2 linked regions of the Astyanax mexicanus genome follow. The protein of the gene in region 2 binds, or shares a complex with, the protein of the main gene of each other region. Links are inferred from orthologs where the notes say so. Each region holds a gene or a part of one and is shown on either strand. Other genes may lie near its edges.

What was found.
Region 1: vps39 (region 2) and vps41 share a complex: the UniProt entries of both Homo sapiens proteins name them as parts of the homotypic fusion and vacuole protein sorting (HOPS) complex. The link is inferred for Astyanax mexicanus from reciprocal best matches to the Homo sapiens genes VPS39 and VPS41.

What each region holds. Positions count from the first base shown.
Region 1 is NC_064408.1:103,282,592-103,290,367, forward strand, and holds the start of vps41 (vacuolar protein sorting-associated protein 41 homolog), read right to left. Parts: upstream 3,023-7,776; 5' UTR 2,757-3,022; coding exon 2,736-2,756; intron 2,376-2,735; coding exon 2,337-2,375; intron 1-2,336. UniProt on the Homo sapiens protein: Plays a role in vesicle-mediated protein trafficking to lysosomal compartments including the endocytic membrane transport and autophagic pathways. Acts as a component of the HOPS endosomal tethering complex.
Region 2 is NC_064421.1:20,441,318-20,449,153, forward strand, and holds the start of vps39 (vam6/Vps39-like protein), read right to left. Parts: upstream 3,008-7,836; 5' UTR 2,417-3,007; coding exon 2,344-2,416; intron 2,128-2,343; coding exon 2,062-2,127; intron 1,979-2,061; coding exon 1,914-1,978; intron 1,430-1,913; coding exon 1,387-1,429; intron 1,249-1,386; coding exon 1,154-1,248; intron 922-1,153; coding exon 823-921; intron 735-822; coding exon 642-734; intron 1-641. Other genes in the region: transmembrane protein 87A, read right to left, coding at 5,206-5,247, 5,387-5,417, 5,969-6,030, 6,120-6,184, 7,072-7,151, 7,303-7,406, 7,488-7,546, 7,684-7,790. UniProt on the Homo sapiens protein: Regulator of TGF-beta/activin signaling, inhibiting SMAD3- and activating SMAD2-dependent transcription.

The DNA of each region.
Region 1 (7,776 bases), on a different chromosome or scaffold from region 2:
TGAAGAACAGTTGAATTTAAAGCAGGTAAACCCAAGAAGAAAGGAAAAATAAATAAAATACACCGATCCTTAGGCAGGATTGAACCCATGTCATCAGTGTAGCAGTCATATACACTACCGCTGCCCCAGCTAATGAACTGGGACACACCCAGGAAAAAACACCCTTATAAATAGGTAGGCAAGTTCCAAGTTTAAACTCCAGTGAATAACTGTGTTCACATTTTTGAAATGTTATACCTCCTCTAAACTTAAATGAACACTAACCTTATGCTGTAAACTATCAAGAGCTTTTAAGGTAATTAATTGTGTTCCTTGTGTTTTTGTAATAATAGGCTTCATGCAAGATTATTCCATAAATTCATATTTTTAAACATTTCAAGACCAAAGTAACCAAACTGAAAATTATTTAAAGAAAGCAAAGTAATCAAAGTAATGCTCTTTTCACCAATCACCTGGTGTGATGCTTTGCTGGAACAACTGAATAGTCTGTGACCATTACAGCTCATTACAAAAAGATGGTTGGATTTAGGTAACCTAGAGGAAGTACATAAACAAGTAGCATTGCGTAATAGGGGACTAGAAGTTGCAAAAATCACTTTTGAAATGTCATTGATATCCTAAGGATATTTAGATGAAAACTGATGATACTACTTGTGTAGTCCGAAGTACAACTGCCTTAATACAATGCTATGGCCAGCATTCAACATTCTAAATGTATTATGCTAACATTCTGTGCTAGCCACAGCATGAGACAGGGTGCTTTACCTACCAACTCTCATTTTTTGATAAAAAGGAAGTTTCTTGATTAAGAGGTAAAGAGGAAGTTACTGCTTCAGGGAGAGACATTCTGCCTTAATTCGTTGGCTTGAATGTTTTATTTTAATTTACACTTAATGCACTTTAATCAATATTGTAACACTTAATATGTTAAATCACACTGAACCGTGAAATACAGTACAATATAGTGCTGTATATGTGGCTATTGTAACTTTTGACAGAGACATTTTACTTAAATGAATTAAATGTGAATACAAACTGTTATATGTCTATATATTAAAAATAACCTCCAATATAAGTGTACTTATGGTACATCTTCACACATAGCACAAATATTGTATTAGAAAGTGTTGCACTGTATGAAGCTTTTAAAGTATCAAGGTAGAGAAATTATTTAGAGACTTAAATCATTCCTTTAATTTAATAAATAATTTCTTCATACATGAAGCAACTCCTACCAATCTGTTTAATAAATGATTCCCTTTGTTTAGCTACATTTAGAGAACGAATTGTCAATTAAGGGTAGGATTTATTAAACTGAAAGATAGGGCTGGATGATATCATTATCATTATCATATTTCCACACAGTAATGTGTTTTTTTTTTTTAAATCACACTCAGATGCAATACATTATGGTATTTTCTTTTTATGTTGTGCAAAATACTTTCAAAAATACTGTATAGATATTTACAATACATTTCCCGGCCCTAATAAAGATTTTATAGTGGATGTTTAAAAGTAAATAAAATAATGAATGTAGAAAATGTAAAATGCAATTATATTTATATTAGTGGTGTCAATTAAAATACTAGTATATACTTGTATGTTTGAGGGGAGATAAAGCCAATATGGAGCGCTGGAATGAATAATGCATGATGAATTGGATCGAGAAAACTTTTTTTTACTTTTTGAAACATCTCAGCTTGATTGTAAGGAATTCTAAATTAGAATTTAATTTGCTGAGTATAAAAAGGCCTTTTTACATCTGTAGTTTGTTTCTATGCTCTGGATCAGTTGATGAGTTTGTTTACTCTTCCTCTGTTTGGTTTGGTTTCACACAGGCATAAACCTGTGCACCAAAATGCTCACCAATAAACCACACAAGCACATGTCTCCTCTGATTGGCCAGAGCTGTCTGGTGCTGGAGCTGCGCTTTTAAACACAGTTTTTTCAATGGGACGTGCAACACAGGTGTGAGCAGTGAACGCTGCACATTATTGCGTGTGTAAACTGTGCCTTATCAGCAGTTAACTCAATTAAAAATAAGTATATTTCATAGCTGGGTTGGACTGAGACTAGATCATGATCTCTCCACAACAGATCAGTCCAGAAAAAAGAAATCTGTGCGCTGGGCAGTGCAGATTACGGCAGAAGTTGGGGTGAAACTTGGTGGCATATTTAATTTTTGTAAAAAAATAATAACACGTTACTGATTCCAAATTAATCGCATGCATTAACGCCTTAACATTGACAGCCCTAATAATAACTGATTACTGTATTTAAACTCAAAGTAAACAAGGGTTTGTTTATATAATATGCTCCCTAAATCCAAATCTTACCTCTGAATCATCTGTGGACTCCTCACTTGGTTTTCTCTCCTGGAAAAAAAGACACAGTCTTAGCTTCCCATTCAAATCTAGCTCAGTTAAATTACCTAGTTAGTCTAGCAAGAGTTAAGTGAATAGAAAAATTACTAGCGCTACCACACACATCAGTGTCTATATAGGATATAGACGTGTAAATGTACATAAATAGGATCTACTAGTAGTAGTGGTACCATAATAATAATAACTAGTAATGAGCTGAAGCTAAGAGCTGATATGAAGACAGTCAGGGGAAACTGTTGACACTAGCATTGTCCATACGTCACCGTAATAACAGTTCACACAATAAGCACATTAATCGCGTATTTTCGGTGAAACAGTCTGTAATGTAATGTAGTTAAACTGAACGCTCACCTTCTCCTCCAGTTCCGACATGGCTAAGCTAGTGTTAACCGCTAGCGTTAGCCTTAGTATCCGTCAGTAAGAGGAAACAGGCGCCGCAGAAATCCGGTTTCTACACTAAACTCTCCGTTTATAATCTTATAATGTGAAGAAAAGGCGAAAGGGAGCCGTGACCGAGCTCTCCTGTTAAACTGCACCTCTTCTTAGCCGTAAAAACACAGTAAAATCCTCAGTTTAAGCTAAAGCAAAGCAGCTGCAGCATTTTGACACTAGTCATGAGCACGGTCACATGACAACAACACAAGGAAAGAGCAGGGGCATGCTGGGAAATGTAGTTTAATCCCACTCATGCTTTCTGAGAGTTGGCTTGTAAGACGACCAAAGGTATTGCTCCTCAAAAAAAATATTTCTCTGTATTTCTTATCCTCATTGGGGAAAAAATACTTGGCTTGATATGGCTTAACAGCATATGGTATGTTTGTGTCTGACAAGCATGATCAAACTGAAGAAGCGAGACCACCAGTAACAACAACCAGCATACTTAAACCAGGATTAATTATGCTGGTTGACTAGCATGCCCACCATGACCATGCTGTTCTGCTACCTTCAATTCTCCTCGGAAATTCAGGTAAGTGATGTTTTTATCCCATTAGAACAGTGAATCATTCATTTTTTTAATGTATTGCAACTGATTTAATTGGTTAGCTAATAACAACCTGCAAGTGTTGAAGTGTTGTAGCAATAACAGAAATATAAACAGTTTACAGTTTACAATACAGTTTACAAAATTGTCTGCATCAATTTATTGACCTCTTGTTACTGACACGCCCCCAACTGGGAAACTCTAGGCTTATCTAACAATCTGAGTTTCCCACTGGCAAATATGAGTGTGTGGTGGCGTTTATGTGCTCGGATCTCGTAAATACTATATTTTCGACAAAATAATGGTTGACCAGCATGACCAACAAGGCGAAGCTGTTCAATCAGCATTACCAGCATGTGTGAGTAGCTGCCTTCAGTAAATCTCTTCCATGAAGAAGTTGGATCGTTCAAATTTACCATTCCATCTTAAATGCTGCAAAATTACCAGTCCTTCTTGAATGGTGCTAATTTACCATTTCACCTTGAATGCTGCTAATTTACAATTTTACCTTAATGCTGCTAATTTACAATTTTACCTTAATGCTGCTAATTTACCATTTCACCGTAGATGTTGCTAATTTACCGATTCACCTTACATGCTGCTAGTTTACCATTCCACCTTAAATGCTGCTACTTTACCATTTCACCTTAGATGTTGCTAATTTACCGATTCACCTTACATGCTGCTAGTTTACCATTCCACCTTAAATGCTGCTACTTTACCATTTCACCTTAGATGTTGCTAATTTATCAATTCACCTTACATGCTGCTAGTTTACCATTCCACCTTAAATGCTACTTATTTACCATTTCACCTTAAACGCTGCTAATTTACCATTCCACCTTAAATGCTGCTAATTTACCATTCCACCTTAAATGCTGCTAATTTACCATTCCACCTTAAATGCTGCTAATTTACCATTTCACCTTAAATGCTGCTAATGTACTATTTTACATTAAATACTGCTAATTTACCATTCTACCTTAGCTGGTGCTGTGGCAACACACAGGCTTCAGGCTGTAAGTTGCATTTTTAGGCGCTTGGACTTAACGTCTCACCCCGTCTTAACATCTTTATGTGGAATAAAACGTTCACATAAGAATCCAGGTTTAGTTTACTGTTGACTGATTGTCATTTCTGCACAACATAAGCAGAATTATATAAAACTTTTAAGGCACTTATACACATGCTGAAGGCTCAAGGTTTAGTGTTTGATTTATTAACTAATCCTCTAAATTCAGTGTTTAAATTGTGTACATTATGATATCTATGCTATGCTTTTTTAGTAGGCCTTTAAGGGTCTGGGCATGTGCCTTGCCTGATTCTGAGGAGATGCAAAAAGAGGTCATCATTCAGAGTTAATCATGATTCATCCCCAGGTAAGTGTACATCAGGCTCCATGACACTGTCCGAATATTCAGCATCCCTGTCTGTATAATCCTAATGACCCGGAGGAGAAACAGTCATTTTTATACCCTCACCCCAAGCTTATTCCTATGCGTTTGAGAGGACGGGACATTTGATTAGATTTACTTAGACATTCTTACATTTTGATTCGTAACAGACCGCTGCCATACACGGCCGTGGGATAGGATCATTTGCGACAGGCTGTCAATACGTCTTACATGATTATGCTGATGTGGTGTGGCAGGCCAAGAGGCAGGGTTACCATATTCATATACAGGAAATACAGGCCACAATATGGAAACTGCTGTTTGGGATTGAGGGCATACTATGGCATGTTGGTTTGTTAGACCCATACATTGAATGCAAAATTCAGATTAAATCTGAATCAAAGTTTTAGCTTTGTTCTTATTCTTATTTAAGTCTGGAATGTATGACCCAAAAACTACAAAAATGCATGAAAGGGATAACATGACTCACATCACATTTCACAGTTGTATCTTTAACATAATTTTTAATGTAAAATCTTCAGTAGGATGTAAAATTTACTGTACATACACAGTATGTTTATATATATTTATTGACTTGCTGGAATTTAAGCTAAAATTGTGTTGAGTGACAAATATCACTGCTGGCAGCATTTGCAGATGATGTAGCGATGATTCTTGCAGACATGGCCAACACATCTCACACAAAAAGTTGGCACCCTTCAGTTCGTGGCTGTTGGGCAGATTTCCCATTGCCTCGCTGTACTGTAGACAAATTGTGTCTGAAGCAGATTCTAAACAGCAACTGATACAATGAGACATGCATGGAAGAGGCATATCAAGTGATGTAATGTTGTTAAAATAATGTTTTGATAAAAAAAGATAAGAAAAGAATAAGCCTGGCACAATAAATGTTTTTATTGGACAATATATTATCCCACAAAAATTGCAACAAACAATATTATTGTCATTTTAAGAACATTTTATTCCACTGATATAATGAAGGGTGATTAAACAACTGTATGAAGATGTAGGTCTACAAGTATTGTGTGAGTGTATATGATCATGCAGAGTGAGATCAGATCCCGGTGATTCATGGAGAAGATAAAATACTGCAAACAATAAGTTGACAAGTAATAGCAAACAAGTAATAGTGCCATAATATTTATTCAATTTAGGAAAAAGGCAATTTCCATAATGCTGTTTTCCAGTGTATGATGTAGGTGTGATGTAAGTGAGCTACACCTACACAAGTCATTTCAGTGTTGTATGATAACTATATTAATAATCAATACAATTACAATTAATAATAAATACAATTTTTTATAATTTTCAATAATTAGACATGGAAAATATGTTTTTATTGTGTCAAACTGTGTTTTGTCAGAATTGATGTGTAATACTCTAATGCCATCTGGGCTCACACTTTTCATTCATACATTAATGGTAGTTGAAATGTAAATATATAAGATATATTGAATGGTTTCCCTTTGAATTGTTGCGAGGTCAGACTTTTACACTCTTGCCTGTAATGTCTGTTAAAGGCGGTGGTGACCAAATCTAGTACATGTGGTAAACAAGACAGGATCTGAGGAAAAATGCTAGATGAAACACACAGGCTTATCTCGTAGCGCAGACCCCGGCCTCGTACAGAATACACTATCAGTCTCGTCTGTGTTTTATGAGCTACTTCAGAGAGTGCTTTTTGCACCGTTCGACACCGCGTTAATGTCCACTCATCCATTATAGCTGTAGATTTCATCTGTATTATATTCCTGGCAAACAGCGTGGTAAATACTTGAAGAGCCCTCAGGTTCTGAAGTCGGGGTCACTTCATCAATGCATTATCCTTAGTATAACTGCTAATAATTGATGAGCAGAAGCATAGTGCTCCCCTGCTTACCACATCATTGGCTTTGGTCAGTCTACCTTTAGGCTGTTGCTGAATTATTCACTCCTTTTCCACTTCTTTTTACTACATGGATTTTATACCTGTGATGTTCGTCTAAGACAACTCTGACTTTTAAAAGAATTGATGCTTTAAAGACATTATTGTTCGACACAACGAAATTGAACATTGTTACTGAAATATAAAAAATCCAGTCTGTGATTTAAAATTATTTTCAGTATGTTTTAAACATTTAGTTTTTTTTGGACTTTTGGAAAAACTCACCGGCTTTCCAAAGTTAAGCAAAATTTGATACACTATAAATACCATAGATGCACTATAAATAGGATACTTTTTCTTGGTTCTACTACTGGTTCTACAAAAAGAAATGGGAACTGGTTCTAAAAGGGACAGAAAATATTTTTCATTAAAATAAAAAGGATGTATTTACTTTTAGAAAATTAACAAAATGTACCATTTGACCAGGGATGCTGATTTGAAGTTCCATGCAAGCTTTTACAACATAGGCTATTTATTTAATTATTATTTGCATCCAATTATGCATCCAAGTTATAAATAGAGATGCATTTTTCTTTATAATTGAAAATTTGAAATACCAACACTGTCCAGCACTTTTGTTATTAGGTAATGATTCTGGTATTTATTTGTAACAAATATAAAAGAAGATTCTTATGCTTCTTCTTCTTATTATTATTTATAGTATATTTGTATGCTATATTGCATAATATTCTGTTGAGGAACGTTCGGCTACAGTAATTTTTTAGGCATTTTGATTCTGGAGCGTTCTACAGCCAAGCTATTTTAAAAACGGTTAGAATCTGGCCAGATGTTATTTGGTTTGTGAAGAATCATATTTGAAAATGGGTGTGGGACTATTGTTTACCTCCAGTAGTTATACTGTAAGTGATTATGTGTACAGTATGTTTATGTGAATGTATGAGAGAAGTGTGTGTGTACTGGTGTGTAACTGTTGTAAATTATTGTAAATAAAATAAAAATGTTATTCGCAAAAGGAAATACCAACACTATAAAAACATTATTAAACACAGATAAAACACCACACATTGTAAGTGTGTGATATTTCAGCAATTCTAATATTGTTGGATTTAA
Region 2 (7,836 bases):
GAGTTATAATGTTTGTCTAAATGTGTGTATGATAATGTACTTGTAATAGAGCCAATGTGGAATGCAAGACAAATTTTAAGGAAACTATAAACTATAAGTTTATATAAGTGTATCGTATTGTATTGTAGTGTATTGCAATTATCTAACATGTTTGGTGTTCACACGTTGCTTCTGTGTTTGTGCACTCATATACAATGCTAATGTTGTATGAATAATAAAAATTTATCTTAAAGTGCATCCAGGTCATCAATAAGAATACTTGATTTAGTTTATAGCACAATATGGTTTCTATAAACAATAACAATGAACAAAGTAACTAAATGCTAGAGAAACCTATTTAAACACAATGACTGTTTGTTATGATCCTTTTGACAGTAAGTCATAGTGCGTCCTAAATTAAATCATTAGATTTGCGCAACCTTAAAGAAGGTTGAGATATGGTTTGAAGAGGTAAAATATTTTTTAATGTAATGTTAGCTCATAGCTGCAGCACTAAACTGCAGAACCAGAACAAACATACCAAATATGTCTTGGATGGAGCTACTTTGGGGTAAGAATAGAAACTGGGTAAATCAGATTCTTTTTCGCTGAGCTATTTAAAAAATATATAAATGCACTTTAAAAATATGGATTCAACATACTCGAATCAGGTAGTAATCACGTTTGAAACCAACACATATGGAATTTTCACACCAGGCCATGGACTTGGGAATATCTGGTACTGCTAAATCTCCCTACAAGACACAATACATTTTTAAGAAACAGCAATATGACATTATTTAATCAGAAAGACAATTAATAAATTACCACCTTCAAACTTACCTGCAGCTCATGGAACTCCCTGTCTTTCCAGTAGTACAGCTGTAGTTTCTTTTTTACAGCAACACACATCCGCAATTTTGCTTCACCGGAGGAGGTTTGCTAAGGAAGGCACAAGAAAACTCAACTTCATGCAGTAAGAATGTGAGGGAAATATGTATTAATAAAGACTGGTTTGTCAACACTGGTTATATTATGTAGTTTAATAAATACAATGAATTATTCAATGTGCAGGAAAGATTTAGAGTCATGATTGACAACAGCAGAGTCATGAGTCATGATTGACAACAGCACACACACACACACACACACGCACGCGCACATCCATACAGACCTGCAAGTCACAAGCAAAGAGTGTAGCTCCTCTAGCCTTTGATACAACAGTAATCTGCTGAAAAGTGAGTAGGTCATGGACGTGGATGTTATTCTCTGAAACAAACAAGGATACAAAACTGATTATTACATGATGCACAGTGTGTTAACACTACTGAAACTTGCTAAAGCAAAATTTATAGTGAGAACACATATTCAATAACAACAGTATACAAAATAAACGTAAAGTCTTACCCAGCAGACTGACCAAAATCTTGTACTGGGAAACAACATACAGCTGGTGGTGGAAAAGAGAATTGTCAGAAGTCACATGTTTATATTAAAGGGGGCACTCCAGCCAAAAGGAAAAAGGTAACCATCCTTACATTTGTTGTAAACACACATACTCCTGCACAAAGATGGGCAAACCACATTTCCCTGCTGTAACAAACCTTCTAAACTTGGCAGTTAACAAGTGAGTTGAGTTAGGAGTACTTATGCAAGAAAAATAAAAAAGCAGGAATCCAGCACCCCCAAGACTGCAACTTCCCACCATTGCTGTATAGTGGTAAGTAGATTTAAAGACAAGTATAATTCACTTCTATATTCATTTTTATTTGAAATGTGCATGTAAAACAACACTAAACAACAACTAAACTACATAGCATTTTGAATAGAGACTTTCCATTCAAAAAGGAAATATAGTCCACAACCTAAATTAATCTCTCCCTGGGAAACTGACCCAAAATGTCAAGTGCCTTTTTAGACAGAAACAAGCATACCTGCTGTATCTTCTTTGAGAAGTTCTTGTTGGATTTCTCAAGTGTTACTTCAAATCTATTCGTACCTGTATGAAGTGAGATCAAAAGAGACAGAATTAAAAATTATAAATAAAGTAATCAGAGAGTCTTATGCCTCTTAATGTCCTACCTGCATCCTTCTTGATTCTGTAGAGAAGGAGGTGGCCTGGTTTTGTACCCACAAGCAGCCAGTCCTCTGCATAAACAACATGAACATATTGTAGAACATTTTCAACATAGGTGGTTTAAACACAACGTCTGTTTAATTGTGTTAATGAACTGGGAAAACCTTTTAGCTACAGTATCAAATGCAACTGAAGCAAGGGAAGCAGACGATAAGCAGATGAGCAATGCTATCTGATAGTTGTAGCATTTCCTCACAAATTCCCACAAGGATAAAGATCAATCTTACCCCAGGCCGCAAGGCAGTCGATCTGTAGGGGCAACTTCTCCAAAATAGGTACGGGCTCATAGGCGTCATGCATGGCGGCAGATTTAGCAATCAAAAAGCTAGAAAATAAAACGACTTTAAAGAAAAGTGGAACTGTAAGGTTTAGGTGGCATCTGCGAACCGGGAAGCTGATGAACTGAAAATAAGCCCTTATCGAGCCTAGCTATCGTTCCCTAGCTCACAGCAACAGTGCTCAGAGCTCACATACCAGTTACACAACCCCACTAATTCTAATTAAACTTTCGGCTAACCCTTCTGCTCCATCTCCCGTATTTCCACCACGAATGTAAAAAGTGTGACAGCGTCAGAAAGTGAATATATCACGGGTACAGTGAGCGCTAGCGGCGCGGCTAATTAGTTAGCTAGCTAGCGCTGCTGTATAGAGCTGCCATGGCTAACGCTAGCTAGCTCCTTTAGTCCGAGTGTCAACAAAGCCACAACTGAACTAAATACATTTCATCCCATATTCCGACTCAGATAAGTTCGTGCCAACCTCGGAACCCCCTAGCTATTCCCAGAGAACACCAAACCCCCGGTAAAACAGGCCAGTTCGGGGTGTTGACAGTTTGTAGGCTCGCTAGCTAGCTAGCCAACTCGCAAAGAGCTGTGACCGACTCGTAAACGATTCATTCATTTCAACCGATTCCTTCCAGTAAACAGACCGAACTGGTTCAACTGCATTACACACTCACAAAGTCACACACAGAACAAAGCGGATTGAATTTACTATTGTATTCATTAATTATGATTAAAATAATATTAAAGAAGCAATGCAACAAATGGTCTATTTAATCTGTTTTTGTTTGTTTTGTTTTGTTTGACTTAAGAACTAGAATAACACGAGACATTTTCCACTACTACTTACTATATACAGCTCCGGAAAAAAAAATTAAGAGACCACTTTAGTTTCTGAAACACACTTTTAGACAGTACTTTGTTGGTGCTGCACTGTCTATTTTATTAGTATGTCTCATGTCTGTTGTATTTATTGTAGTATTTTAGCTATGTTGAACAGTTTGTGGCAGGTTTGCCCTTTTGTTGTCTATATTGTACAAGATAAAGGAACGTAATTCCATTGTACTGTACTCAGATAAAATTACAATAAAAGTTTCTGGACTTGAAAAATCATGTTGACATTTTTGAACTACCCAGCAAAATATAATTATAGCTATATGAAGGAATTGAGGCTTCGAGAATTTTAGGCTTGGAAAGAATCGGTTCCTTAGACTGAATCAAACTCCCCGTGACTCTCGCTCAGCTGTGTGAACGCTTTCAGCGCCGTGACAGGCACGTGATATACGTCAAAGCTCACGAGAGCCGAATTACACGTTACACCTCAGCCTATACATACAGACATACACATGTTATGCTGTGTTTGGTTTGCAGTGTTTCTTCGTGTAATATTTTATTGATATGTTTAAAGTAAAGTATGACCAAGAATGCCTCTTTTCATCAACTCACTTATTGTTAAACACCCCAACAGACAGTCATTACAGCTATATGAAATTATTTTGTGTAAGTTGGTAAATATGCTAAATGTAAATATGTTAAAACTGAACTGAATATAGTATTTAGCTGATTATTTACAGGCCATAGCAACATTGTTAAGCACCATTTTATCTTTCAGTGTTTAATTTCTTTTCCAAACGTAACAAACTGAATTAAAATACATAATTGGTGGATTCTGAATACATTAACATAATTCTTAACATCTTTTTTCCCCATTAGAGCTCAGCATTAATGTACAGTATATATAAACACGTATGTTCTAACATATATTAGTGTGTATAGTGATGAATATACAGTCAACAAAAGCACAATGATTAAAAAGTCAAAGTAAATTTTATTATTTTTCAGCCAAACCTCAACAGAGACAAACACAACACCCCCTTCCCATGTCACCAGTAAAGCTAAGGCAATTAAAAAAGAAACAAGCTAACAAGCATTTGATGTACAAAAAATATATCTTTCCACAAATCTTTTATGTAAGAATGATTAACTTTAAAACATAAATATATGCATATAATTAAATGCTTAATAAATGTGTAATTTCAAGTGATCTTATACACAAAAAAGACAAGCTGTGTCAAATTCTTTCCCAAAATAATTGAACCCAACTGTAGACACCCATAGCCAGTGTTGAAATGTTATGCAATCTGCCTTCTAATCAGGCATAAAAAAGATGAAAAGTCAAACCTAGGATTGGTTATCGTAGTTAGATACTTTCATGGCACGGACTGAACAATATCAATACTTGAGAGAGTATTGGCAATGCCAAACTTGAATACCTAAGAAGCGAATGTAATCAACAGCACTGAACCAATTAGTCCACATGTTACCAAATATAACTGCAGATTGTCTAACATACAATCTGTTTGTACATTCTTGCAGTTTTAAGCCACATCCACTTTCTGTTTGTAATTTGAAACAAGATATTGGAAAAAGTATTGTTTAGGAACTGGTAATGACATTAAGGTATAAGTACTGATTAGGTTATTAAAAAGGTTTGGATGGTATTGAGTCAAAATTAAATCTGTCCACATGCTTAAAGAAAGCACAAAAATACTTAAATAAGAAAAGTTGCACAAATAGAATCCCAGCAAAATACCCAACAAAAACAATAAGAAATGGCAAAGAAGATTGACAGATTTCACATTTAGCCTGAGACATATTTCCACATTTTGCCCCAGACCAGAAACTGTCTCAAATGAAAACACAGTACTCCAACCAAGGGTTTCAACTGAGTGACATTTATCATCACTTTATAAGTTCTCAGCTGAACTGGAGGAATAAATATCTTGCTTTTATGCACCTGCATGAAGCCTACTCCATTTTGGATCTCTCCATCCTGGTGTTTAGAATTTCCTGTTAGGAGGAAGGGTGGGCAGACACATACAAGATTAAGGCCTGTTGAGTAATGCTACTGTGAATCATCTGACTGTGAGCATATAATGAGTAAAAATGTGACCATGATCATGAGACACAAAAAAAGCAGTCACTTTACCTCTTCGTCATCCAACACCACAGGCAAAGCTCTGTAAAAAGAGGGAAGCGTTGCACTCAATTAGAATCACAATAAATAGGTTCACTTCCTATAGCAAAACACAATGATTTACCACAGGTCTGGCCAGTGCTTCAACAGTTTGTAGATATTCTGCCCTGCAGACCTTAGCTCCAATGCTAACACACCTGACCCAGATAATGGAGGCCTTGAGAAGCAGTTAAATATTAGAGTCAATTGTGTTTGATCTGAACTACGTAAAACCTGACAAAGACTGGACACCAAAGAATAAAATTAACTAGACAATATAATTTCTTGGTAAAGAAATCATTGCTTGAGAATTTACAGCTACCGGTCAACACTGCTGCATGAGTAATGCCACCATTTTCTCTCTTTTTTTCCCCACAGTATTCATAGTCCTGTAGGTAGCGTTATACAAAGTGACATATTTTGGGAGAGTAAATTATGCTTTTTCCATACCAGGATTCATATTTTCTAGGGTTATTTCTATGGTTGTAGAATTTAATTGTTTAATTGTAGGTAACATCTTTATATTGTGCAAGGTGTTAGTGGAGCTCTACTCACACATCGACTACAGTTGTAGGAATGTTATCTTCCACCCATTTCAGGTCATCATCTTGGGAGCTCTAAAGAACACGGAACAGGAAAGAAAAGAAAAGTGAGGTGACGGTCAACCATCATAGAAGTATGTGTAACATGGATATTAAGTTCTCACCTCTTTGCCGAGTAGTTTTTGACTTGCGTGTGTGTCTGACTTTGCTCCTCTCATTTTCATTCCCTCTGAAAACAGAGCACATGGCAACACGTGAGACATTGTTCCATTTAAAAACTGTGGGCAGGGTGGGCATGACAATAAGAGGGCAAAATATCTTATTAACATAATAAAAATATCTACATGTGTTTTGTCTGATACAGACTCTCAAACACTACAATTCCTTGCTTTGTTGAACAGCATTATTCTGAACATCCACATTTGCACATTCTGAATTACTGAATTACAAGCCTAACTGATCTCTATATTGTACAACAACCATTAAATCATCTTTGTATATTTTTTCATTCTTTATACTTCATCTGTGTGTGTTATATTCATATCTTATTGTTTTGTGTTGTTATGTCACTGCTAGTTGTACCATGTGTGACTATGTATGTGACAATAAACAAACAATAGACAATAGACAAACATGATCAACATATTTATATCAGATTTTCATTTTCTGTTGCACTATATCAGCTTGTTCTCTGTTTCTATCTTCTGTTATTGACATATTTTTCCTGTTTCTGACAGTTTTCAGCATGTGCTTTTGCATAGTTTTAGTTTCTGTCTGGTTCTCTGTTTTCTTCTCCCTTTTTGCTTTTATTTTGAATCTAAGGTTTTGTTTTTTGGAGGTTTTGATTCTCATCTGTTTTTGGGCTATTTTCCTCCATTTGTCCTTAATATTAACACCTTTCCTTTTTTAATCGAGAGTGTGAATTCAATCTGTAATGCTACAAATGTCACAATATTTTTTTTCATAATAAATAAGTAACATCATGTTGTAATATACTGCCCATCCCTATGTTTTTGTCCAACATAAACAAAACAAATACTACTATGGGTATAGAACAGAATTTCCTTTTTTTGTATTTTGTGGTTGAACGAATTCTATCAATATACTGATATTTACCAAATGCTTCATTAAGCATAGGTTCCTTCGCTTCATCATCCTCATCATCTTCCTCATCAATAAGGGGCGAATGGGAAAATCTATGCAAAGAATATGGTCATTTTTCATTAGTTACACTCATAAGTTACAGATACATCATGCAAGCTTTCAGACAGTGTGAAAGGTTACATATCACTCAAGGTTACATATGCATTCAAGGTCATTGCAATAATACACAGTAATTCAGCTAACCTTTGGCTATTGACAGAGGGCCGCAGTAGCACCATAATCACCAGCAAGATGGTGGAGAACAGCAACCTCCAGAAAGCATCATCCACCCACAGTTCTCTCCAAGCCTTAGGAACCAAAAACAAAAGCACAATCTCAGCCACAGACATCACAAACTAGAAAGAGTTTTTCACCGATATCCTACTCACTCTCTGACACTCCACAATCTTGAACTGCTTGGTGGTCCATACGATGAAAATGATAGATGCTACAGTATAATATAGAAGTATAATATTAAGTAGAACATTAGTATAATGCATTTGGCTTGTTATTACTTGTATTGGCAATTCTTTTAAACACGTATTCCCGAATGCTACCAAATGCATGCAAACACATAGCACTTACCCAGCACAGAGAATATGAGGGTGTTGGTAAAGTGCTGATATAAGGAGAGCTTCACCACATTTCTGCGAAGCTTCAGAAGGCGAGTAGTCTGAGACAAACTGATGAAAATGTGGAATCCAGCTGTTAAGGACACTGACAGGTTCATTTTCTCAT